Linked DNA regions of Elephas maximus indicus. The protein of the gene in region 3 interacts with the protein of the main gene of each other region in a biochemical or structural test. Links are inferred from orthologs where the notes say so. Each region holds a gene or a part of one and is shown on either strand. Other genes may lie near its edges. The genes, in order: PELI1, IRAK4 and IRAK1.

Region 1 (7,985 bases), on a different chromosome or scaffold from region 3:
CAGAGAAAACTCCTACAATCACCTTAGTGCCATCATATATTTCTTATTTTAAAATTTTAATATATCATATACAATTAAACTGCATGAAGTAATCCATATAAGCTTTTCTGACTCAATTAAAACTAAAATAAATCTATATTGATATGCCAGGGTAAGAGGGATACATGTGAGTATGATAGATCGTTTTCAATCCAAGTCTTTTGGCTTAAAATATCAACTACAGAAACTTCTGTCTAAAAATACTAAGTTTTCACAAAGCAGAACTACTATAGTCCTTATCACCTGACTTACTGGACAACCACAGCAAAGCCTATTCCAGAAGTCTTAATAGCAAAGTGACATTATGACAACCTGAAAAGAAGGTGAATGATGTCAAGTAGAAACAAACTTATGCTTCCCCTTTAAATCTGCCTCAGCAGTACTAGACCCAGTTTCCCACCCTGTACTTTTCAGTCATTTCCTTTAAGGGGTCCCAAAGAAATGAGTAAACCAGCCATGCCAGACTTAGCCAGTCAACACTAAATCCAGCCTTTGGACTCAAGTGACTGAGCAAAGACACTGTGTTAGCAGCTTCCTTAAAATACAAATACTCCTGGTAAATCTGGTTTGTGAGTGCTACAAAAAAAGTTAAACATAACCAATAGTAAAATCACTTAACTGTTAACAAGAGCACAGATCATCTCTCTCTCTCACACACACATACAAACACACACACAATCTGCCACTAAGGCACAACCTACAGCTCACTTTTTTCAAGTCAATAAATACTATTACGTTACAACACTTCTACCTTGCTAATTAAAACCTACGCGAAGGTTTCCTCTTTAAAAGCTGTAAATTTATTAGATGAGACATTATAACCACTTCACTACATGCAACTTTCCATACACTTTAACTGTTCAATTTTCCAATTGTTCGTTTTAAACTCAAGATCTCTTTTAAGACACTAGAGAAAAGGGACAGGTTAAAGGCATGGGGACAAACATCAAAATAACACAGGTTTTATTTTCTGATGCCAACACCAGAATCTAAAATCTGGGGGCAACTATACAAAATTAAATTCAAGAAGAATTAAAGATAAATGGATAAAGCACCCCGGGTTACGACCATTCTGATCATCATTTACCGCAAGAAATAACGAGGAGAAAAGATGCTAGATTTTAATTTCTGGTACCTTTCAGTTTTGCTCAACTACCAAGACAAGCTTGTCCACAGAGTTAAGTATTTTAGTCCAGAGAGATTGTTGGTGTGAATAAAAACCATGAGGAATTTCTATGCTGTATCTGTCCAATAAGAACAACGTTTTGAGAGATGTAAACCGGATCACATCTTCTCTGTAAGGTATAAACAAAACATATCACGAGCTTAAACAGAAAAACTGGAGAAATCGAATCTTCTTCACAATTCAAAAATTTAAACTCACATTACCATGCAAACTGTATTAAATAAAAACCCAGCATTTCTCCTGCATTAGAAAAGTAATACATATTCAATGTAGAAAAAGACAATGCCAGTTCTGAAACAAAAGATCGGCTGCTATAAACCCAAGTAACATTTTGCAGAGCAAGAAAAAAGTAAAGTCTTTGAACCAGAACAAACAGAAGTCCTTTTCTAATGCTTACAGCTTCAGTCCTTGACACAACCAGGACATTACTGTAAGGCGTTCGATAATATTTATTGATATCCAATTTGATGACCAAACTACGGGAAGGTTGTTGGTGCTGTTAAAAGCAAGATACATTTCCCAGTGTGTAGTGATCAAAATCTGTTAAACGTACATTTAAAAATATGTCCCTCTTTCCATCACTGCTCTCCTGCCTCGTGACTCGCACACAGAAAAATTAAAGTAGATGGCGAGTTTATGATTTACGGTATTTTTCCAACTCGGAGCATTTTTTTCAATAAGTTTGAGGTTTTAAGATTGAAACCACTATGTAAGAAAAACTGTTGTCTGAACTACCTAACAATTACCCAGGCTTCTTTTAGGCTTCAGTTCACATGTAAATAAAATGAGCATCTTTAACTTCTCCACAGGGCACTGGAGAACGAACTCTGACTCATAAACGCTTTCAGGTCCTCAGACACCAGCGCGGAAGAAGATCAAGGGTATCCATCAATTACAGAGCTCTCCCGAACCTCAGTTTACCCACCTACAGAAACGGGCTCATTAACTTGCTTCGCAGGGGCCCCGGAGGTGTAATTAATTAGTGTTTTTAAAATGCTGAGATGCCAAGATGAAAGGAGATGCGAGGGCCACGCAGGGATGATGACAATAATCATAACAATAAAAAGAATGACTAAGTTGGGAGTCTGCGTTATGTAAGGAAGGAGAAAGAAGTTACCAGATTCGCACCAACAAAAGAAAAACCCGTCGCCCCCTTTGTTTCCCTTTCATTTCTCTTTTCCTCCACGCCGGCCGCACAGCTCCCCTCCGGGACAGGAGCGTGGTCGGAGGGTCCCCGGCGCGCGAGGGGCGCGGGGACTCGGGCTTGGCCGCGCGCGCCGCTCCCGCCGGTGGGGGAGGGCGCGCCGGGCCCGCTCCTGACAAAGGCGCTTCCTCCTCGAGGGCGCGGGATGGAGGCGCCGCAAACTCCGCGCACGGCCGCCCCCGGCGCGGGGACGCGCGGGCGGGCGAGAGCCGGGCGGCCGCTCCGCGAAGCCGCCGAGGAAGTTGCGCGCCCGCCTCCCCCGCACCCCTCGCCCGCCCCGCTGCGAGCCCTCCCGCGGCACACCGTGGCCGCCGCCACGCTCACCGGACGACTGTTGGTGGCCAGAATGCCGGCACGGCCCCCGAGACCCAGAGAGCGCGGGAGAATTGTGTGTGCGGAGAGCGCCAGGAGACAGCCCGGCGTTCCGCCGCCGCCGCCTTCCTCGCCAGCCGGCCAAGCCCAGCGAGGAGAAGTTGACCGCGGAGCCGAGCGCTGAGAAGCCGCGGGCGGAGGGAGAGGCGCGGGGCCCGCTTTGTGGCGCGCTCCCGGAGGGCTGGAGACAAATCCAGTCGCGCGGCAGGGCTGGTGCTGCTGGTGGAGGCGGCGGCGGCGGCGCCCCCCGACGGTCCCCTCCGCCTCGCACCGCCTCTGGGTCACTGACACACACTCGGAGGGAGGGGAGGGGACAAGTGGGTGGGCGGGGCGAGGGAGGGGGACAGGGCAGGGCCTCTGCGGTAGGCGTTCCCGCCGCGCCGAGAGGGCTCCTGGGAGTTGTAGTTCTCCGGTTGAAGAAAAAAGGGATACGCACGTTGCTTTTGGGGACCCTTCCGGGGCTCGCTTTGCACTGCGCATGCTCATGGGGAAGAGACTTGCCCACGCCCCACCGTTACCATGGTGACCGACACACTAACGAAAGAGATTATATTCAGTGCTGCTGTTGGCTGAACAAGGCCGGGTCTTGTATTATTGTGCTGTTGGGGATCCCGCTCTTGGCTGCTCCTTCCTGCTTTGCTCCACCCTCAACTCCTAACCTCACCGCTCCCAAGTGCCCAATGAAATCTAACTTCCTCGTGGTATTTCGGTCTTCCCTGCTGCTGAATTTTCTTACAGAAATCCTAAAGCACAAATGTCCCTTTCCCTGGCTTCCCTCAACCAAATTCCCTCTATCTTAAATTTAACTTTCTTTACCTCAAACGTGTAGAAATGTAGTTGTATCCAATAAATTTAACAATTACGTTGTAAAACTGTTAGACACATCACCATTATCAGAATCCCATATTAATTTCTTAACACAATTAGTCACATCTAACTTTAAGGTCAGCAAAGGTAAAGTTAAGGCTAAGATCGCTATATTTTACTTGAGTAGTGTAAAATAATCCAAATTTGTTCATTTTAAGGCCTACAATTTTTAAGAAATACAATTTTCATAAAGTAGCTATAAATTCAAAAGATGAATGGAACATTGAAAATTGGCTTTATGGCAGACTTTTATTGGACAATAGAAGTCTGAACCAAGGTATGAGTATGTTGCTGGGCTAGTCAGCTAAGTGTGCCCATACTGGGCACCCAGCTATGAATAGGCAGTGGAGGAGGGTGGTGGTCTACCATGCCAGGAATGGCAAATTGAAGAGGAATGGTGTCACATTCATCATCAAAAGAACATTTCAAGATCTATCCTGAAGTACAACACTGTCAGTAATAGATGCACTCACTGATGAAGATCAAAGACTATAGCCTTCAGTATGGATTACACCTCAACACAAAGAAAACAAAAATCCTCACAACTGGACCAACGAGCAACATGATAAACAGAGAAAATATTGATGTCGTCAAGGATTTTGTTTTACTTGGATTCACAATCAACGCCCATGGAAGCAGCAGTCAAGAAATCAGAAAACATATTGCATGGGACAAATTTGCTGCAAAAGACCTCTTTAAAGTGTTAAAAGGAAAGATGTCACCTTGAGGACTAAGGTGTGCCTGACTCAAGCTATGATATTTTCAATTGCCTCATATGCATGCAAAAGCTGAATAATGAATAAGAAAGACGGAAGAAGAATTGATGCCTTTGAATTATGGTGTTGGCAAAAATACTGAATGTACCATGAACTGTCAGAAGAATGGACAAATATATCTTGGAAGAAGTACAGCCAGAATACTCCTTAGAAGTGAGGATAGAGAGACTTCATCTCATGTACTTTGGACATGTTATCAGGAGGGACCAGTTCCTGAAGAAGGACATCACGCTTGGTAAAGTAGAGGGTCCGTGAAAGAGAGGAAAACCCACAGGAGATGGATTGACACAATGGCTGCAATGATGAGTTCAAGCATAGCAACAATTATGAGGTTGATGCAGGACTGGGCAGTGTTTCCTTTTGTTTTACAAAGGGTCGCTACGAGTTGGAACTGACTCGATGACACTTAACAACAACAGTAAGTAACTCAGGAGCCCTGGTGGCACAGTGGTTAAAGCACTGGGCTGCTAAATGAAAGGTCAGTGTTTCAAACCCAAGAGTCACCCCACAGGAAAAAGATGGGATAATCTGCTTCTGTAAAGATTTACATCTGGTAACTCTGTGGGGCAGTTCTACTCTGTTCTATAGGGTCACTGTCAGTCTGAATCAACCTGATGGGAAGGAACTGCCAGACATTTGTCATTAAGGCACAAAATAGTCGGATAGTTGATTTTTTACTTGTTGTAAATGTAAAATGTTGGATAATGAGATAGTCGATAAATGAGGAGTAAGTGTATTTGTTTTGGTTGGTAAGTAATTGGAGTCCCTAGGTGGTGCAAACAGTTAACATGCTCAGCTGCTAACCAAAATGTTAGATGTTCAAGTCTACCCAGGAATACCTTAGAAGAAAGGCCTGGTGATCTACTTCTGAAAAATCAGTCATTGAAAGCCGTATGGAGCGTAGTTCTACTCTGACACATGTGAGGTCACCATGAGCCGGAATCAACTCAATGGCAACTGCACTGGACTAGAGTGAGTTATTGCCTGCGTTTGGGGATGGAGGGCGAGGAAAAGCTACCAGCTTTGATGCTTTTGTTTGCAAGCAGCAGAAAACCCAACTCTAAACTGACTTAACTAGTAAAAAATATTTATTGCCCCATCTTACTAGAAAGTCCAGTGAAAAGACAGGCTACAAGGTAAGTTGATTCAATAACTCAGTGATGTCATGAAGGACAAGTTTCTTCTGTGTCTCATGGTACAGCCACTGCTCACTTATCTGCATGGTTAGGTTCCAAAGAGCAGGTTGTTGTGTGACAATTGGTGTGATGACCACATCAGATCACAAAATGAAGGATGACTACATCGTTACATAACTGCCAAATTACATCATTACATAACTGCCAAATCACATCATTACGTAACTGCCAAACCACTCAGAAACATCGTCCTGCCAAGTCAATGCATAACTTTAACCATCATAGTCGGAGTTACTCTGACCTTGTACCTTGGCATTCATTACTGCCAGACATATGTCATTAATGTACAAAATAGTCAAATAGTTTACTTTTTACTTCTTGTAAATGCAAAATGTTGGATAATGAGATGGCCGATTATTGAGGAATAAGTGTATTTCTTTCCTTAGTAATAACTTTATGGTCATATGATGGCTGCTAACAACTCCTCTGGCTATGTCTCCTCATCTAGGTCCAGGAAGAAACTATAAAACAAAGTCACTTCTACAAGTCATTTTGTAAAGACAACTCCTTTCCATAAGTCTCAAGAATTGAGCTACATGTCTATAAACTAAAAAAAGTGGTATTAAACTAATTATCTTAGGACTAAATATATGCCTTGCCCCTGGAGCCAAAGAAGTCAGATTCCCACAAAGCACATGGGCTGTGATGAGGAGGCGATATCCGAATAAAAACTGAGGTGATTACCCAGACAAAGAAGTGGCTTGTATGATTATGACATGGTGATTCACTGAGTTATAGAATACAGGAGAAGGAACAGATTTTCAGTGGGAATTTAATGAGTTCACGTCATATAGGTTGAGTTTGAGATGACTCTGGAGCATCTAGGTGGAGAAATGGAGCAGGCAGTTGTATGTATGTGTGTGTGTGGGTGGGTGTGTGTGTGTATGAAAACCAAAAAACCGAAACCTGTTGCTGTTGAGTTGATTCCAACTCATAGTGACACTGTAGAACAGAGTAGAACTTACCTATCGGGTTTCCACGGAGTGGTTGGTGGATTCGAACTTCTGACCTTTGGGTTAGCAGCCATAAGTCTTAACCACTGTGCCACCAGGGCACTCTCTCTCTCTCTCTATATATATATGTATTTTACTCTACGGCTCTGGAGAGAGATCTGGACAGAGGATATTATTGAAAAACTAACACCATACACATGGTAGTTGAAATTATAGGAACGGATGAGGTCACTAGACAGTATGCACAGCAGAAAAGGAGGAGCCAATACTAGCACCCTGGGAAACACCAGCACTTAAGGAATAAGCAAGAAGATCATGAAAATGCCTGGGAAATAGCTGATATTCCACTCTTTCACATCGGTGTGACCACACTCATTGTAAAACATAGTTAAAGACTTCCATATGAAGCCTTGTTGATAAATAGCTGCCCTAAAAAAAAAAAAAAAAAAAAATTTTTTTTTTTTTAGCCCCTCTGAATACCACCTTGTTTCCCTGGGTGTCCAAGCCTCTCCCTCATCACTTCCCCGTGGTGTAGTAACTAAGGTGGTAACTACTGGCTTCAGTGAGAATCTTTTCGGGTAGGGTCAGAAGGCAGACTCATATTTGTGCCGAAGTATAGCTTGTTAGTTATTTAAATATACATGACTAAAAAATATGTAGTGACTTCCACAACCAGACATGAGAGAGCAACAGAATCTGAAATCACCAACCCACCATAAACAATTAGAAAAATGGACAAAATTCAGGAAACAACCATTTTTAGACATTAGGCAACAGGCAATACAGGACTGTGATCCCTGATAAGAGAGGGAAGAATGAGGTGAATCCTAATATCACCCAGGCATTCTGTCAGGAGCAATTTCCAGACTATAGTGCAGGGAGGGGGAATTTGAACCCCTAAATCTTGCTGAGTTGAGGAGATAGAGATGAGAGTTCAGGGAAATCAAGGTGGTTAGAACATGCAGGTCAGATTTCCAGAGAGGAGTGAGCTAAGCAGAGAGATAGTTGTAGAAATCTGCACAGCTTGTACATGTGGAGAATCAATCACACACCATGAGGCTGGACAAAAATAACTTTGAGGAAAGAACAATTACAAGGGAGCCCACATGGGTCTGGGAATCGTTCGTGTTTCCTCCAGACGGAGTGATGAGACTTCACTGACTATATGGAGCATGCTTATAGGGCATATATAGAAGAGACTAAGATTTACATATGAGACAAAATTAGCCCTAGGATGAAGGCTACTCCTCTAGATCCACCATAAAGGAGCTTAAAAACAAGCCTTGAATGGATCAAACTAATCCAAAAGTAATTTGTTTTCCTACCAGGAAAATTATAAAACTTTTTAAAGGAACGAAACAAAATCAGCCATTTAACAAGACTAAATTTTGC
Region 2 (7,619 bases), on a different chromosome or scaffold from region 3:
TATTTGTAACTGTGTTAACCATACCTCTCTTTTTTAACCATACTTTCATCAGTAAGGCTATTTTTTACACTTAGTATAATATGAAAGATTTTATCTTCCATTAAAAGACAGACTCATATTATTTTCAAATATCCCTTTGGCCAGGTCTGTTCAATTCATTTAAAATTATTCAACTTTCATACAATTTTAAGCTTATCCAAGAAAACAATGATTTATTAAATTACCTGTATATATGACTTTTCTTTCCTGGCATTCAAGATGAGACCTTTTCCTGTGCTTGTGTGCTTTTTCCCGAAACTTTACTGTTATCACTACATTTGGATTATCAGCACTGTGATTCAGTTCTGAAAAGGATTTGGTTTCCACGAGGCTTCCAAACTTCTTGTTGACAAAATGATGGACAGCTTTTCTGTGGTCTTTGTTTGCATCCGGTTTAAAGGTAAATTTGGAATTTTCTTTCTTTGCATCCAAATACTTAAAAAAGTCAAATGCTTCTTCATCAGACACCAAGTGACAGAGTTCTTTATACTCAAGATTTGGTTTTACAACAATTTCGCTGTTTTTTCCTACAGTTATTAAATAAGGAAATTTCTGCCGAACAGCACTATGTAAACTGGCCCGCTGGTTTTTGTCAAGGATTCTGCCTAACGAGAATTCAGGAGATGGTCCCACTAGCTCAATTTTAGAATTCCACGTCTCTTTTACATCACAAGCAAACTGATTCAGTAATTCATTAGTTTTTTCATCTAATAAGGAGCCTAATATATCAGCTTTTTCTTCTTCACATTTGGAAGCTCCATTATTGATCATATCTTCATTTTCTGAACTAGACTGATGATTTTGGTCACCATCGGAACACCTAGCTAAAGTACCAAGTTCTTGGTTACGCCCACCTTCAAAGGATAAATTGTGAAGGTCTAGTTTTGGTTTTTTGGCATAATTATTTGGCTCAGGTAGTATGTTATTAATCTCGTACAGAGGTTCATCACTGGCTTTATTAACTAACTGTCCCCGCTCATCAATCTCAGTAACAACGAAGTCCCTTGGTGAGCTTTTTATAGTGCCACGAAATCCAGCATGATCAGTAATATAACACAAAGAACTGAACCTGTTTCTATAATCTGTATCCTCTTCCATTCTTACATAATAATGTCTACAAAAGAAACAAAGAGGCAGTCAGTTACCAGAAAGAGAAGTTGTGGAAAACAAAACAAAAAAAGGAACAGGTTTGCTGGATTTATTTAATTCTCTTTGTCCCTTTCAATCCTGAGTTCTCTTAAATAGAATTATTAATTCATGAATATATACCATGTGTTCTTTGACTCTCATACACCAAGATGAATGAATAGGCAAACATTTTCTAATATAACTTAAAACTTGACTCTTCATCTACCCCAGACTTCCATCTATTACCTGGATTTTAAATGGGTCAGTTTCAAGCTTACCTTACAAATAGTATTTGTAGGACCACAAAAAATAGACTAGAACATAGGACTGTTTACAATGATTTGTCCAAACCCCATCCGTAGAGTTGAAAATTTCATTAATTTCAGAGAACTTAGGACTAGAGTTTCATATGCTAAGGGTGCAGGGACAGGAGACAAGAAGAAGATAGAAAGAAATAGGACTTAATTTAGTCCCGGGCCTTAAGCCTTCTCTAAAGCCCCCATTAGGACAGACACGAACTTTTGAAGTTGATCCCAAGGAGATTTCCAACCATCATTATCTTTGCCATCAGAGAAAAGGAGACCCTTATAGAGCTTTGTGGGAGCAGTACACAAAAGAATAGTCCTCTGAGGAAGACTACTCACTCATCAAACAACCCACGGCTACCATACCACATGGAGCTATGATAAAGGTCAGTTTCCCAGAGACCCCATACCAGTCAGATCATCACAAACCCACACATTCTAGGAAATTTATCATCATCAGGGCCTTCACCCCCATTTATACAACATATTCTACTAATCCGAAACAATTTACCAGCCTCCTCTTCTCAATTCTTTCCATTGTGCCATGTAGAAATTACAGCAAATTTTCTATATCCTAATTTCCCAGGGAATATACAAGGATATTTACTTAATTCCTTAATTCCTGCATCCCCTTCAGTGTCTTGCTCTAATTGAAACCCGGCTGTTTCCCCAGACTACTACTTCTGCAGTCCTCTCAAGCAAAGGCTATTTTTCCTTTCACACGCCACGTGCCTTAGGTCTGGAGGTCATAAATATTTTCCATTTCCCACTGCTCCTTCCAAACTATTTCTTCCTCCTCTACTTTCAAACTTCCCAGTGCCTCTGAAGTTCATGCCATCAGGCTTTACCATCTGCTGTCATCTTCACTCTAATCCCGAGGACTACTCTTCATTCACTGATGACTTTAACACCTGGCTTACTATCTTCACATCCAGCACGACTTCCATGATCATCCACATCCATCTTTCATTCAATATCATTGTCCCTCAGTTCCTCAATCTCCCAAGTCAATTTCATCTGTCACCCCCTTCCGTGGTCACACCTTCTCATTTCCATAAACTGCAACCTACAAAACTTGCACTTTAAGTATCTAGTTCTCTGATCACCCCTGCTATCTTTCCATCAGCCCTACTTAATACGTCCCTTCCGGAAAATCTTAGACATTGTGAAGGTCTCTAATCACTGCTTCTACTACTGACTCACTCTAGTCCATGCTCCACAAAACAGCCAGAATGGTACTTTTAAAGGTAAATTAAATCATATCAGAACCCTGCTTAAAACACTCCATTCACATGTATTAATAAAATACAAATTCCCTACCCTGGTTTTCAAAGACTATGATTCTGGACCCTGTCTATTCTCCAAAAGCATCTTGTACCCTTTCCCCATTATCCATTACACTCCAGCTATACTGGCCTTCTTCAGTTCCTTTAAACTAACTGTTTCTGCAGCTGAAATTGTCCCTTCTCCAATTATATAGCTGCACCTTTTAGTAATCAGATCCTCAGAGGGGTCTTCCCTGACGAGTAATCTAAAGAAACTAGCACACTCTCTTCACGAAGCCTTATTTTAACTGTCTTTATAGCTTTTTTATTTAATATTTTCTTTGTCATTTACATTGTTTCAATAAAATGTTAGTTCTGTGATGTCTGTCTTATTTATCACTGATTACCCCACATTTAGAACAGTGTCAAGCACATATTAGGCACACAATTCAACATATTGACTGTTGAATGACGCCACTAGTACAAAATATGAGCTGTAAGAGTAAAGAGGAGGAAAGAATGGCTCACTTTTGCCTGTGATAATAAGGAAAGGTATAACACAAGAAGTGGTCATCTAAGTAAGTGTGGCCTAAAAAGGGTTCGAGATATAGAAATGAGGCAGAGAGAATATCATCAAATAATGTACAAAAGATGCAATGTGTTAGAGAAAAATAAACATCCCAGATTGGGGGGGGGGGGCTTTTCTAGTACAGTTCTGGAAAATACAGCTAGATTAGCGTCAGACTATGGAAGACACCTAATGCCCTGCCAAGGACTTAGAATCCACTGGGTGACCAATAGATGGCAACTGCAGATGTCTTAGAACGACATAATCCAAAAGATGATTTAGTAAAATGACTCTGATGGTACTGATCAGTATGCATCTGATGAAACAGCGATGTGATCAAGAGTAGAGCTGCAGAAACTGGCCGTGGAAACAATGATCTCTTTCCCTATGAAGACATTTTAAACTAGAGGGGTAAGTAGAGCAAGGTGGAGGGCGGGAGGGGTGGGAAGGCAACAACAAGGGAATACCAACCAAGCGAGCATCTTGGGACAAGAGCGGACAAATGCAGAAACCGAAGTGTGGCAGAAATGTGAGACAGGTTTGGAGGTGAGAGTTTGGAAAACCTTAAAAAGGGTTTGGAACCGAACTGGAGGGCAGCCAAGGAGCCCACGTGGAGTTAAGTATAAATGTGCAAGACTCCTAAGCAACAGGGTTTGCAGATGAGGATTTGGGGTGTAGAGGTGGATTTAGTTTGGTTTAGCCAAAGTTGGAGAACTACTAGTTTGAGGAGGGATCCTGAAAAAGTAGTAGAAATGAGAGAGAGAGCTCCCTTTTCCCCATGCTCTTCCTTTCCAACTGTGCAATATCTGCCGAACGGGTTCCCAGAGAAGCAGAACTAAAGCCTGTGTCGCCGTCTCACTCTTCCCTGAGGTATTAACACACTTTTTTTTTTTTTTTTTTTACCAGTAGCTCCACTTGCTTCTTCAACCGTCCCCACCCCTCGGTGTGTCACTGCCCCACGTCGCCTTCGTCTGGGGGGCAAAGGATCGGGATAACCAATACAAGCTTTATCATCGTCCCAAACACAATCCCCACACCGTGGAAGAAGCAACGCGCAACACCCGGTCTACCTCGCATCCAGGCGAAGGTAAGTCCCCGCACAACCCTGTGCGCATGCCCGGAAGCCTCATCTATTTACCGTCCTCCGGGAGAGTATTTAAAGGGGCAGGCTCCCACGTGAAGAAGCGCCTTAACCAAACGTTCTTCGTGGAGCGGCCTGACGGCGCAGAGAGGAAGAAGCGGGGCCTGGAGCAGGCGGAGCCCGGGGCGGGGCCTGACGGGAAGTGCTGTCCTCGCTTCGCTGCTTCCCGCTGCTCGGGTTGCTCCGCCGCTGGCTTCGCCGCGAGGCGCCCCGCCCCCGCGCAGTGCCCCACGCCCCGGGCAGGTAAGGGATTGCCGCTGTCCGCTCTTCCTGCTACCCGGAGGTTGTCCTCCTCTGCTCCAGGCTTAGTAGGGTGGCTGTTTCGGGCTGCAGATCGCTTTATGCCTTATATTCAAAGTGAGAAAAGTTTAGAGAGGAAGTGGTTGCATGAATCACCTCCGGCGTCGAGATTTGGAGTGAGTCCCTGGAGATCCACAAGTTAGTCTGACTGGGAGGAAGCTGAGGCATCGAGAGAGCCGTCACCCAGCTGTTCAGTGGCGCCGTCTAATCTCGCCTCAACTTTCTCAACTCTGTGGCTTTTTGTTCCCTGAACCCGTTTACAAAATGAAATCTTGTCTCCTAAAAACCAGGAAGTAAGCTCAGCACGCGGCCGAGATGGGAGGCATTCAGAGGCTCCACACGATTCTGATTAGCTTGTTTCCTCCAGTTTCTAAGCTTCCAGGACATTAGAGAGTGAAGAGTTGTAAGAAACAGGTAAGTACATTATCACATACGAAAAGTGTACCTGACGGCGTGGAAGCAAGAGAGGAGACAAAGGGATAAAAAACAAACGTTGAAAAAGCTAGCAAGCACATCAGCCAATTTGGAATGAGAATAGCGCTATTAGTGCCTCAAAATGCTATATGCCCAGTGCCCAAGGAGTCCCTAACAGTAAAAAAAAAAAAAACAGTAGAGGATATTAAATTCTGCTTTTCCCCTCTCTAGGGATAAAAAAAAAAAAAGGGATAATCCTTGAAGAAGACTGACAGAAAGTTAGAAATTGTTTTATTCTCCTTTTTTGATGGTAAACGTTTGATTTTGCTTTCCACCTGTCTAAACAGAGCTCCTGATCTTCCAGGCAAAACTTAGACCTTCTAGTCTCTTCTCCATCTCAGTAAATGGCAGGAAGCTGTTGTTCAGGCCAAAAACCTTGGTACTGTCCTCTCACCCTCCACATCAGCACATAGGATTCTTTGGCTCTACCTCAGAATAGACTCATCCTCCAAGGACTTGTGCCTTCTCTTCTACTACCCTAGCCCAACCTCCAGCATCTCCCACCTGGATTGTTGGTGTAGTTGAATTGATCTCTCCCTGCTCCTCTGCCTTTAATCCAATATAACTTAATTTCAGCAGCAGCCCCAGTGTCTTTTAAGACATGATTATAGTGGATGTCTTGCTTCTTCTCAAAACCTCATCTGTCTTCTCATCTCACTCAGAGGATAAACCAAAGTCAATAAAAATGAGATCTGGGTACCTGGTCCCCTTACCTTACTAACCACATCTGCTACCCTCTTGCTCCCTCCCCTTCAGTCTTATTGTCTTCTTGCTGTTTCTCAAAGGGCCCACTTGGGCCTTTGCATTTATTATTCCTTTTGCCCAGGACACTTTTCTCACAGATATCTCACAGGCTGGCTTTCTTGCTTCCTCCAAACCATTGATCAAATGGCACCTTCTTATTGAGGCCTACTCTGACCACCTTATTTAAAATTACAGTCTGGTCTCTGTTTATTTTTTTCCACTGCCCTTGGTACCATCAAACATATTATTGTTGCCATTGTTAGCTGTCCTCAAGTCAGCCCCCGACTCTTGTCGACCCTGTGCACAACGGACCAGACTGTTGTGATCCACAGAGTTTTCATTGGCTCATTTACAGAGGAGATGGTCGTTTCTTCCTAGTCCCTCTTAGTCTGGAAGCTCTGCTGAAACCTATTCAGCATCATAGCAGCACGCAAACAGCCACTGACAAACAGATGGTGGCTGGGCTTGAGGAGCATTGCAGGAATTGTACCCAGATTTCCTGTGTGGGAGGGAGAATTCTACCACTGAACTCCGCTACGCCCATAAATGTATTTTAGATATTATTTGTTTTTTGTCTGTCTTCTGCAATTAGAATATAAGCTCCACAAGTTCAGGTATTTTTGATCTGACTTGCCTATTAATCTCTGGGGCCTGGAACAATGTCTGGCACAAAACAGTAAATATTTAATGAATGAATGATATTTTACGTTTAATATACCCAGAGTGTTTTAAAGCATTTACCGTTGAGTTAGATCATGTTCGAGAAAGATGTGTTATAATTTATGAATATATGTTTAAGGACAGCCCTGTATAATTTAATAGGTCCGGAAGGCATCACCAGCTTTTGTTCATAATGATGCGTTCAGTTGTCTGAAAATAAAGGTTATTTATCTGGTATATTTTGCTTACAAAGGCATGGAAGTAAAGAATGTGTTTTAGAAAGGTTATACATGTCTTAAAAGTACTGATATTTTCCTTTTTTAAAGATATCTGGTGGAGCAGTGGTTAAGTGCTTGGCTGTTAACCAAAAGGTTGGTAATTCGAACCCACCAGCCACTCTGCAGGAGAAACATGTGGCAGTCCGCTTCTGTAAAGATTTACAGCCTTGAAAGAAGCCCCACGAGGCACTTCTACTCTGTCCTATAAGGTTGCTACAAGTCGGAATCAACCCAACGTCAACAAATTTTTTTTTAATATATGTATTTTTTTGATCATCTATTGTATGCTATGTTTAGGTCTTTTTCATTTGTTGATCTTAAATCTTATGGCAACTCTTGAGTTAAATATTACTATCTCTGTTTTTCAGCTAAAGAAACCAGGGTCTGGAGAAATTTGAGTTATTAACCCTGGTCACAGTTGGTTTGTGGAAGAGCTGAGATTAGAACCCAAACTCACGCACCCTCGAAGTCCATCTTCTCTCCTCCCCTCTACACTCCGGCCTTCTGATCGAGTAGTAATGAAGCATAGTCATAAAACTTTATTAATTCATTTAATGAGAGCCCCCTGGGTTGTAGAAGCAGATGCTGATTTTAGTATATTCCTCAATTGCCACATCACCATGTGCGCTTGTCTGAGTTGTCTTAGTTGAAAATATGAATGATTTTTCTATACTATGAGAATTAATGATATAACGAAATAGTCACAGAGTTATTTCT
Region 3 (7,758 bases):
CGTAGCCTACCAGTAAATTGCATTTGCTTTTGTAATTCTTAATGAGCAATATCTGCTAGAGAGTTTAGCTGTAACGGTTCTTTTTGATCCTTTTTTAATTAAAAACACCAAAAAAAAAAAAAAAACTAGAAACTTGTTCTTCCAAAGCAGAGAGCATTATAATCACCAGGGCCAAAAGCTTCCATCCCTGCGCCATTGCTGCTTCTGAGGCCCGCGTTCACAAGAGGAATGGGTCTCTGGCCCTTTGGGTGGCTGGGCTGCCCTCAGGACCCTCGAGAGAAAGCTGGGTGGGAGGTACTCACCCTGAAGCTGGTGTTCAGTATTAGCAGTGGGCCGGGTGGGGGAGAGTCGGCCAGGAGACCACTGGCGCTGATGTCCTGCCACTCCCAGGTGGGTGTCCCCATGTGTAAATGCACGTGATTTCTGACCAGAAGTGAAGGCAATGCCGGAGTTAGCCCGCGTGGGCTGCTAGCCCTGCCGGCCGGTGAGGCCCCCTGTTCAGTGCTTCTGTGGAGGACGATGGGTGCAGAAAGGGTCACAGAACTTGAAGCCTGCTCCTTCCCTTGCTACCAAGGCCGCCTTTTTCTGTTTGAGTTTATTCCTGCTTCAATCAATAACAGCCGCTCCAGAGTCAGTAGTTGATGAATATATGACCAAATATGACCAGGACTGTTACTAACTACGTGCCGGCCCGAGTATCCGGACACTGTAGCGCGTGCTGTGTTTGCGCTCCTTTCTCCTTCCTGCCCTGCCCTTGCCTTGTCTTTCTGGGGGGTTTCTGTTTGGGTTTGGTTTGGATTTGATTTTTCCTTTTGTGTTCCAAACATGAGACACTCTCTACTGGTCCTCTTAACTGTGGTGTTGAGGCTTATATTTGTGTAGTTTTTGGTGGGTGAAAGGAACTTTGCTAAGTAAATCTCTTACGTGTTTGAACTGAAGTCTGTATTGTAACCATGTTTAAAGTAATTGTTCCAGAGACACCATTTCTTTACAAATGAACAAAAATTGGAGGGAGGAGGCCGGTGACTGAAATGAGAGGGGCTACCTCTTCCCCCGTTCCGGGGAAATCTGAAGAGATGGCCCCCTGCCCAGGTCAGCCACAACCCCCCCAAAAGACAAAAAGACAAAAGAGAGTCCGGTTCTGGCTGACACGTGGCCATCCTCTAAGAGCAAAACCCCTTTCATACCACCCAGTGGATTCTTTTGGCTTCACCCCACCCCCACCCCAAGATTACTCACATCAGAGTTATTTTTAAGGAAAGACAAGGTGGCATTTGCGAGGGTAGCCAGGAGAGGACTGGATGTGTGCAGCTGCCTTCGCTTAAGTGGGGAGGGAGGGTGGATGGCCTAAGTGGTGGGGCCGGGAGGTCCTCGGAGGGGTCTGGCCCAGCTGGCGCTGGGAGGTGAGTGCTCCCCGCCAGAAGCAGCTCCTCCTGAACAGGCCTGGCGTTTGGATGATCCTCTCCAAGGCGGGTCCCGCGGAAGTTACCATTAAAGACACAGCATCCCCTCCCACCCCATTCATATGCACAACACCAATGTGATGTCCCAGGGCAGTAAGTTGACTTGGGAGGGGGCTCTCTGATCCCTGGCAAAATGTGGCATTGAGAAACCCCCTTCCCTTCCCTCAGAGAAGCTGTCACCCAGCATTAGACATTGTTTGGGGTTCATGGGACACATCTCTGCTCCGTGTCCGGCAGCCCTCCTTGGAAAGGCCAGGGACAGTGCCGGTCGTGGTGGCCACTTGCACGGGGAGGGAGGGGCAGTAGCTACAAAAACCAGGTGGGGGAGGGCTGCCCTCCGGAGGCGCAGTTACACTCCCTGTCCCAGCCTGGAGGCCAGTGACACGGGCCACCCAGCCCGGAAGCCTGTCCGAGGATGGGGGAAGTGTGGAGGGTAGGGAGAGCCTGGGGCAGACTCAGCCTTGATGGCATTAACCTTCGGGTTTTGTGTTTCGGGACAATTACTTTAGAAAATAAGTAGGTCGTTTTAAAAACAAAAAAAATATTGATTGCTTTTTTGTAGTGTTAAAAAAAAAAAAGGGTTCTTTGTGTATAGCCAAATGACTGAAAGCACTGATATATTTAAAAACAAAAGGCAATTTATTAAGGAAATTTGTACCATTTCAGTAAACCTGTCTGAATGTACCTGTATACGTTGAAAAACACCCCCACGGAATCCCTGTAACCTATTTATTATATAAAGAGTTTGCCTTATAAATTTACATAAAAATGTCCGTTTGTGTCTTTTGTTGTAAAACCCAGTGATTTTTCATAAGGTTCTTTTACTATTCGAAAAGATGGGCAGCACGCAGTTTTATTTTATTTTTGTAAGGTTTTTAATACATGTGAAGCAAAGAATACTCAGCATGCCTTTCTAAGTGACGCGTTTGCACCTTTTGTTGGGAAGTACTGTATCCTGTGCTGTTAGCATTCTCGATAAATCTCTCTGTGAAAGTGACTCAAGGTCTGGGCTTTCATTGTCAGAAGTCCCCCTCCCAGGTCACACGGGTTTCCTGACCGTCTCTGGCTTGCCCTTGCCACAGATGGACGGGGTTGAGGCCTGGCAGAGCAGAAAGAAGGGATGCGCTCTTCGTCTGCGGAGGCCACCTCTTTGGGGTGCTCCAAGTCCTGAGGACAATGGGGAACCCCAGAAGGGCCGGCCAGGTCTGCCCTGCCTCCATCTCTTCCAGTCCTTCTAATCACAGCACAGGGACTGGGGGCGGGAGGGTCTGCGTGTCCCTGCCAGGGGCGGGGAGCATCTGGGTGCTTTTGGACCCCTTCTCCCAGCTCTGGCTCTTCCTGTCTCGAACGTCAGTTGTGACCTCTGCATTGGCCTTGGCTGCCTGATGACCAGGCCGCTTGACCCAGCAAGGGCATGCTGACAGATTGCCCTAAGGGGGCCCTGTGGGCCACAAGAGCCTGGTTCCCCAGGAGCGGAAGGGGTTTATAGGCCTGTCCCCCCATCCTCTCTGGTTCCCAGTCAGGGTATGGGCTCTCGGTAGCTGTTTGCCCTGGCTCCAGACTGAGGACGCTGCAGATGCTGGACGCACACGTACTGGAAGGTACACTCAAGTCCTGGCCCTGAATGGAAACTGAAAGGGAGGGGGACAAGATCCCACTCGTAGGCATCTGGACTGTTCTAGGAGCTGACAGCCTGCATGAGCAAGGAGGCCCCAGGCCCTGCTCCCCTGAAGCTTAGCATGTGTGTGGTCATCTCAGATGGTAGGGTGTGTCTCAGGAAGGGCTGTCTCCTGAGAAGTCCTGTGGAAGAAGCTCAGTGGGGATAGATTTCAGGCCCTGTGGGAGGATCTGGCTTCTGGAAGCAGCCCTAAGTCCCTGGGAACACAAGCTGGGGATGCTCCTTTGGGGTCAGGATTGAGAGGGGCCAGGAAGCTGGCGGAGAAGACTTATTGGCAGCTGGAGAAGCCAACTGAAGAAGGAACAGTCCTGCTCCTGGGGACTCCCCGTCTAGTGGGGTGGTGGCCCTGTGGTGAGCAGGATGCACAAGAAGTAAAAGGTGCCGGGTGGACTGCAGTCAGCTCTGTCTGCCGAGGGACCGGAAAAGGTTCGCCACAGCTGTTGGACAAGGAGAATGTTCCAGGCCAATCCAGTGGCATGTGCAAACTCCAGGACACAGAAAACCCTGCATGTACATTTTTGGAACCCTGCAGAGTTCTGAATTGCTTAAGGCTGCTGCTCTGTGGAGAGAGTTAGAAATGAGAGGATGGGCAGGGGCCACATCGTGACAGCCATGTGTGCTGCAAAAAGGAACTGGGACCCCATCAGAGGGCTCCAGGACCCCGGGAAGAGTGTAAGCAGGGAAGGTAATAAAGCAGGCGGGGGCCAGTGGGGAAGGGCTGAGCCCCAGAGATGATCAGGGGACGATGGGAAGATAGTGGCTGCTGAGGTGTGGGGTAGAGGAGTGGAGGGGTGGCCCAAGAATCCAAGGAAATCAGGGTGGAGAACATTTTGAGAGTGGGCAAGAGACACAAACGTGGCTAAAGAAGTCAAACTAGCTGAGCAGAGTTCGAGGTGGTGACTGGGGGAAGCCAGACCCTGCTGTCCTGCCCCAGGGGAAGTGAGAACTGCCTGAGAAGTGTGACAGCAAAACGGAGGAGAGACAGCAGGAGGTGAAGGTGATGCGGGGAGGCACCAAGATCGGTTTTTCGGTCAGAAGAGACTTAGGTGTATGTGCTCATTGGAGGGAGCCAGTAGAGAAGGAAAGTAGAGGAGCTAACACTTGGTGGAGCAGGTTTGAAGGAGAGAAGATGGAGCCAGGGCGCCCTCCCTGACTGGAGTCAGCCAAGGGGGGCCTTTGTGGAACACCTAACTGACCCTGTCCTGCCCAGAACTCTGATGACTAGCCACTGCCTACCACTTAAAGACCAAACATCTTAACGGGACCTCCAAATGGCTCTCTCATGGTCCGGCTGTAGCCACCTGGAAGCACTCTCCCATTCTGAAACATACTGTGCCTTCGCCGTGCCCTGTGCTTCTGGTGCCCGAAGCGCTCGTCCTCGTCCCTCAGCGCCCCACTTAGCAGGCCGCTCCTCTTGGAGGCCCGCCCGGTTGGGCGAGGTGCAGGTCCGACTTCCCGGGCTCGCGGGAGCAGGGGCTGCGGCCGGGCGCGGGCGCCCCCTTGTGGCCAAGGCTTGCGCGGCGGCGGCCGAGATGGCGGCGGGGCCCGGGCACCGCCCCTTCCGTCCCGCCGGGCGTCGCACGAGGCGACTTAAAGGGGAAGTGAGTCAGTGTCCGTCGACCCGGCCGGCCGAGGCCCGCGCCCGCCGAGGCCCCAGAGGCCCCGGCCCGGCGGCGGCGGCGCTAGGCGGGCCATGGCCGGGGGCCCGGGCCCGGGGGACCCCGCGGCCCCCGGCGCCCAGCACTTCTTGTACGAGGTGCCGCCCTGGGTCATGTGCCGCTTCTACAAGGTGATGGACGCCCTGGAGCCTGCCGACTGGTGCCAGTTCGGTGGGTGGCGGCGGACGCGGGCCGGGGCGGGGGGCGGGGGGTCCCCGGGTCGCCGCTGCCCGCCTGACGCCCCCTGCCCCGCAGCGGCCCTGATCGTACGCGACCAGACCGAGCTTCGGCTCTGCGAGCGCTCGGGACAGCGCACGGCCAGCGTCCTGTGGCCCTGGATCAATCGCAACGCCCGCGTGGCCGACCTCGTGCGCATCCTCACGCACCTGCAGCTCCTCCGCGCTCGGGACATCATCACGGCCTGTGAGTGCCCGCTGGCCGCCGGGGGCCGGGGGCCGGGGGTCGGGGGCCGGGGGCCGGGGGCCGGGGGCCGGGGGCCGAGGGCCGAGGCGCCACTCACCCTCTCCCTTTCCTCCGCCGTGCACAGGGCATCCTCCTGCCCCTCTCCCGCCCCCCACCGCCACCACCCCGCCCCTGGGGCCCAGCAGCATCTCTGTCCCCTCTGAGGCCAAGGCCAGGAGCCCCAGGAAGTCGCAGTCCTCAGCCTCCACCCTCCTCTCCCCAGGTAAGAGCCGGGGCTGCTGGACAAGATGGGTTTGGGGAAGAGGCACCTTGACCGTGGTCTCTCACTTTAACAGGTTCCCAGACCCATCCTGGGCCCCACCTCGGCCCCACCGCACACCCTGCCGTCCCCCGACCAGCACTGCCAACTCCAGCCCCTTGCTCCACCGAGGTGGGTGCCCCTTGCCTCAGGCAAGATTCCAGGCACAGAGGAAGAAAGCGGAGCCAGCAGCCAGCTGGGAGGCAGCTGGGGTGGATTTGGGGACCTGGCTGCCCAGGGCAGAGGGGAGGAGACCCAGACACAGGAGCCCACCTGCTGGGGTCTTGTCCCACAGCAGAGCCCAGAGAGCCCACTGGCTTTCCTGCAGGGGGCCCACCCTGCCCCGTTCTGCTGGCCCCTCCCTGAGATTGCCCAGGGCACCCGCAACTTCTCCGAGGAGCTCAAGATCGGTGAGGGTGGTTTTGGCTGCGTGTACCGGGCGGTGATGAGGAACACGGTGTATGCTGTGAAGAGGCTGAAGGAGGTGGGTGTGTCCTCCGGCGAAGGCGCCAGTTCAGGGTCCCAGGCTGCTGGGTTGCAGAAAGTCCGGGAAAGGTGGCAGTGGGAGTGGTGGGGTGGCCATGGTGAGCAGAGCCTCTCCCCTCCCCTCCCCTCCTCACCGGGGCTGCAGGACGCCGATCTGGAGTGGAACGCTGTGAAGCAGAGCTTCCTGACTGAGGTGGAGCAGCTGTCCCGGTGAGCTTCCCCCTACCAAAATGCTTCCAGGGCTGTGCCTGGCTCTCTGGGCCCCCGCCATGGCCAGGGGGAAAGTGTGGTGAAGCCTGAGGCGAGACACGTAGCCCTCCCTTTGTCAAGCAGGTTTCGTCACCCAAACATTGTGGACTTTGCCGGCTACTGTGCTCAGAGCGGCTTCTACTGCCTAGTCTACGGCTTCCTGCCCAATGGTTCCCTGGAAGACCGCCTCCACTTCCAGGTAGCCCCACCTGACCTGGCACAGGTCCCTGGGCCTGTGGCACACGGGGTCCTGGGGAGAACTGGGCATACAGCCTTGGGCTCAGTATTTGTGAACGAGTCTCACCAGTGGGCAGGGCCCGGGCTCCCGGCTCTCCCTGCAGCCCCTAGCTTAGGGCTCCTCCCGAGGTTGGGTGGCCATTTTCTATGGGTCTCTTTTTTTTTTTTTTTTTTATAATAACTTTTATTAAGCTTCAAGTGAACGTTTACAAATCCAATCAGTCTGTCACATATAAGTTTACATACATCTCACTCCCTACTCCCACTTACTCTCCCCGTCTTGAGTCAGCCCTTTCAGTCTCTCCTTTCTTGACAATTTTGCCGGCTTCCCTCTCTCTCTATCCTCCCATCCCCCCTCCAGACAAGAGTTGCCAACACAATCTCAAGTGTACACCTGATATAATTAGCTCACTCTTCATCAGCGTCTCTCTCCCACCCGCTGACCAGTCCCTTTCATGTCTGATGAGTTGTCTTCAGGGATGGTTCCTGTCCTGTGTCAACAGAAGGTCTGGAGAGCATGGCCGCTGGGATTCCTCCAGTCTCAGTCAGACCATTAAGTTTGGTCTTCTTATGAGAATTTGGGGTCTGCATCCCACTGCTCTCCTGCTCCCTCAGGGGTCCTCTGCTGAGCTCCCTGTCAGGGCAGTCATCGATTGTGGCCGGGCACCAACTAGTTCTTCTGGTCTCAGGATGATGTAGGTCTCTTGTTCATGTGGCCCTTTCTGTCTCTTGGGCTCCTAGTTGTCGCGTGACCTTGGTGTTCTTCATTTTCCTTTGCTCCAGGTGGGTTGAGACCAATTGCTGCATCTTAGATGGCTGCTTGTTAGCATTTAAGACCCCAGACGCCACATTTCAAAGTGGGATGCAGAATGATTTCATAATAGAATTATTTTGCCAATTGACTTAGAAGTCCCCGCAAACCATGTTCCCCAGACCCCCGCGCTTGCTCCGCTGAGCTTTGAAGCATTCATTTTATCCCGGAAACTTCTTTGCTTTTGGTCCAGTCCAATTGAGCTGACCTTCCATGTATTGAGTGTTGTCTTTCCCTTCACCTAAAGCAGTTCTTATCTACTGATTAATCAATAAAAAAAACCCTCTCCCACCCTCCCTCCCTCCCCCCCCGTAACCACAAAAGTATGTGTTCTTCTCAGGTTTACTATTTCTCAAGATCTTATAATAGTGGTCTTATACAGTATTTGTCCTTTTGCCTCTGACTCATTTCGCTCAGCATAATGCCTTCCAGGTTCCTCCATGTTATGAAATGTT

What was found.
Region 1: of the proteins of IRAK1 (region 3) and PELI1, one has a biochemical effect on the other in vitro, tested with the Homo sapiens proteins (5 studies listed by BioGRID and IntAct, with this or other methods). The link is inferred for Elephas maximus indicus from reciprocal best matches to the Homo sapiens genes IRAK1 and PELI1.
Region 2: of the proteins of IRAK1 (region 3) and IRAK4, one has a biochemical effect on the other in vitro, tested with the Homo sapiens proteins (2 studies listed by BioGRID). The link is inferred for Elephas maximus indicus from reciprocal best matches to the Homo sapiens genes IRAK1 and IRAK4.

The regions. Positions count from the first base shown.
Region 1 is NC_064835.1:72,710,720-72,718,704, reverse strand, and holds the start of PELI1 (E3 ubiquitin-protein ligase pellino homolog 1), read right to left. Parts: upstream 3,095-7,985; 5' UTR 2,754-3,094; intron 1-2,753. UniProt on the Homo sapiens protein: E3 ubiquitin ligase catalyzing the covalent attachment of ubiquitin moieties onto substrate proteins. Involved in the TLR and IL-1 signaling pathways via interaction with the complex containing IRAK kinases and TRAF6.
Region 2 is NC_064822.1:98,441,670-98,449,288, forward strand, and holds the start of IRAK4 (interleukin-1 receptor-associated kinase 4), read left to right. Parts: upstream 1-4,600; 5' UTR 4,601-4,689; intron 4,690-5,036; exon of another isoform or gene 5,037-5,160; intron 5,161-7,619. Other genes in the region: pseudouridylate synthase PUS7L, read right to left, coding at 225-1,137.
Region 3 is NC_064846.1:2,291,393-2,299,150, forward strand, and holds the start of IRAK1 (interleukin-1 receptor-associated kinase 1), read left to right. Parts: upstream 1-4,736; 5' UTR 4,737-4,834; coding exon 4,835-4,970; intron 4,971-5,054; coding exon 5,055-5,222; intron 5,223-5,346; coding exon 5,347-5,484; intron 5,485-5,557; coding exon 5,558-5,652; intron 5,653-5,815; coding exon 5,816-6,004; intron 6,005-6,151; coding exon 6,152-6,216; intron 6,217-6,339; coding exon 6,340-6,454; intron 6,455-7,758.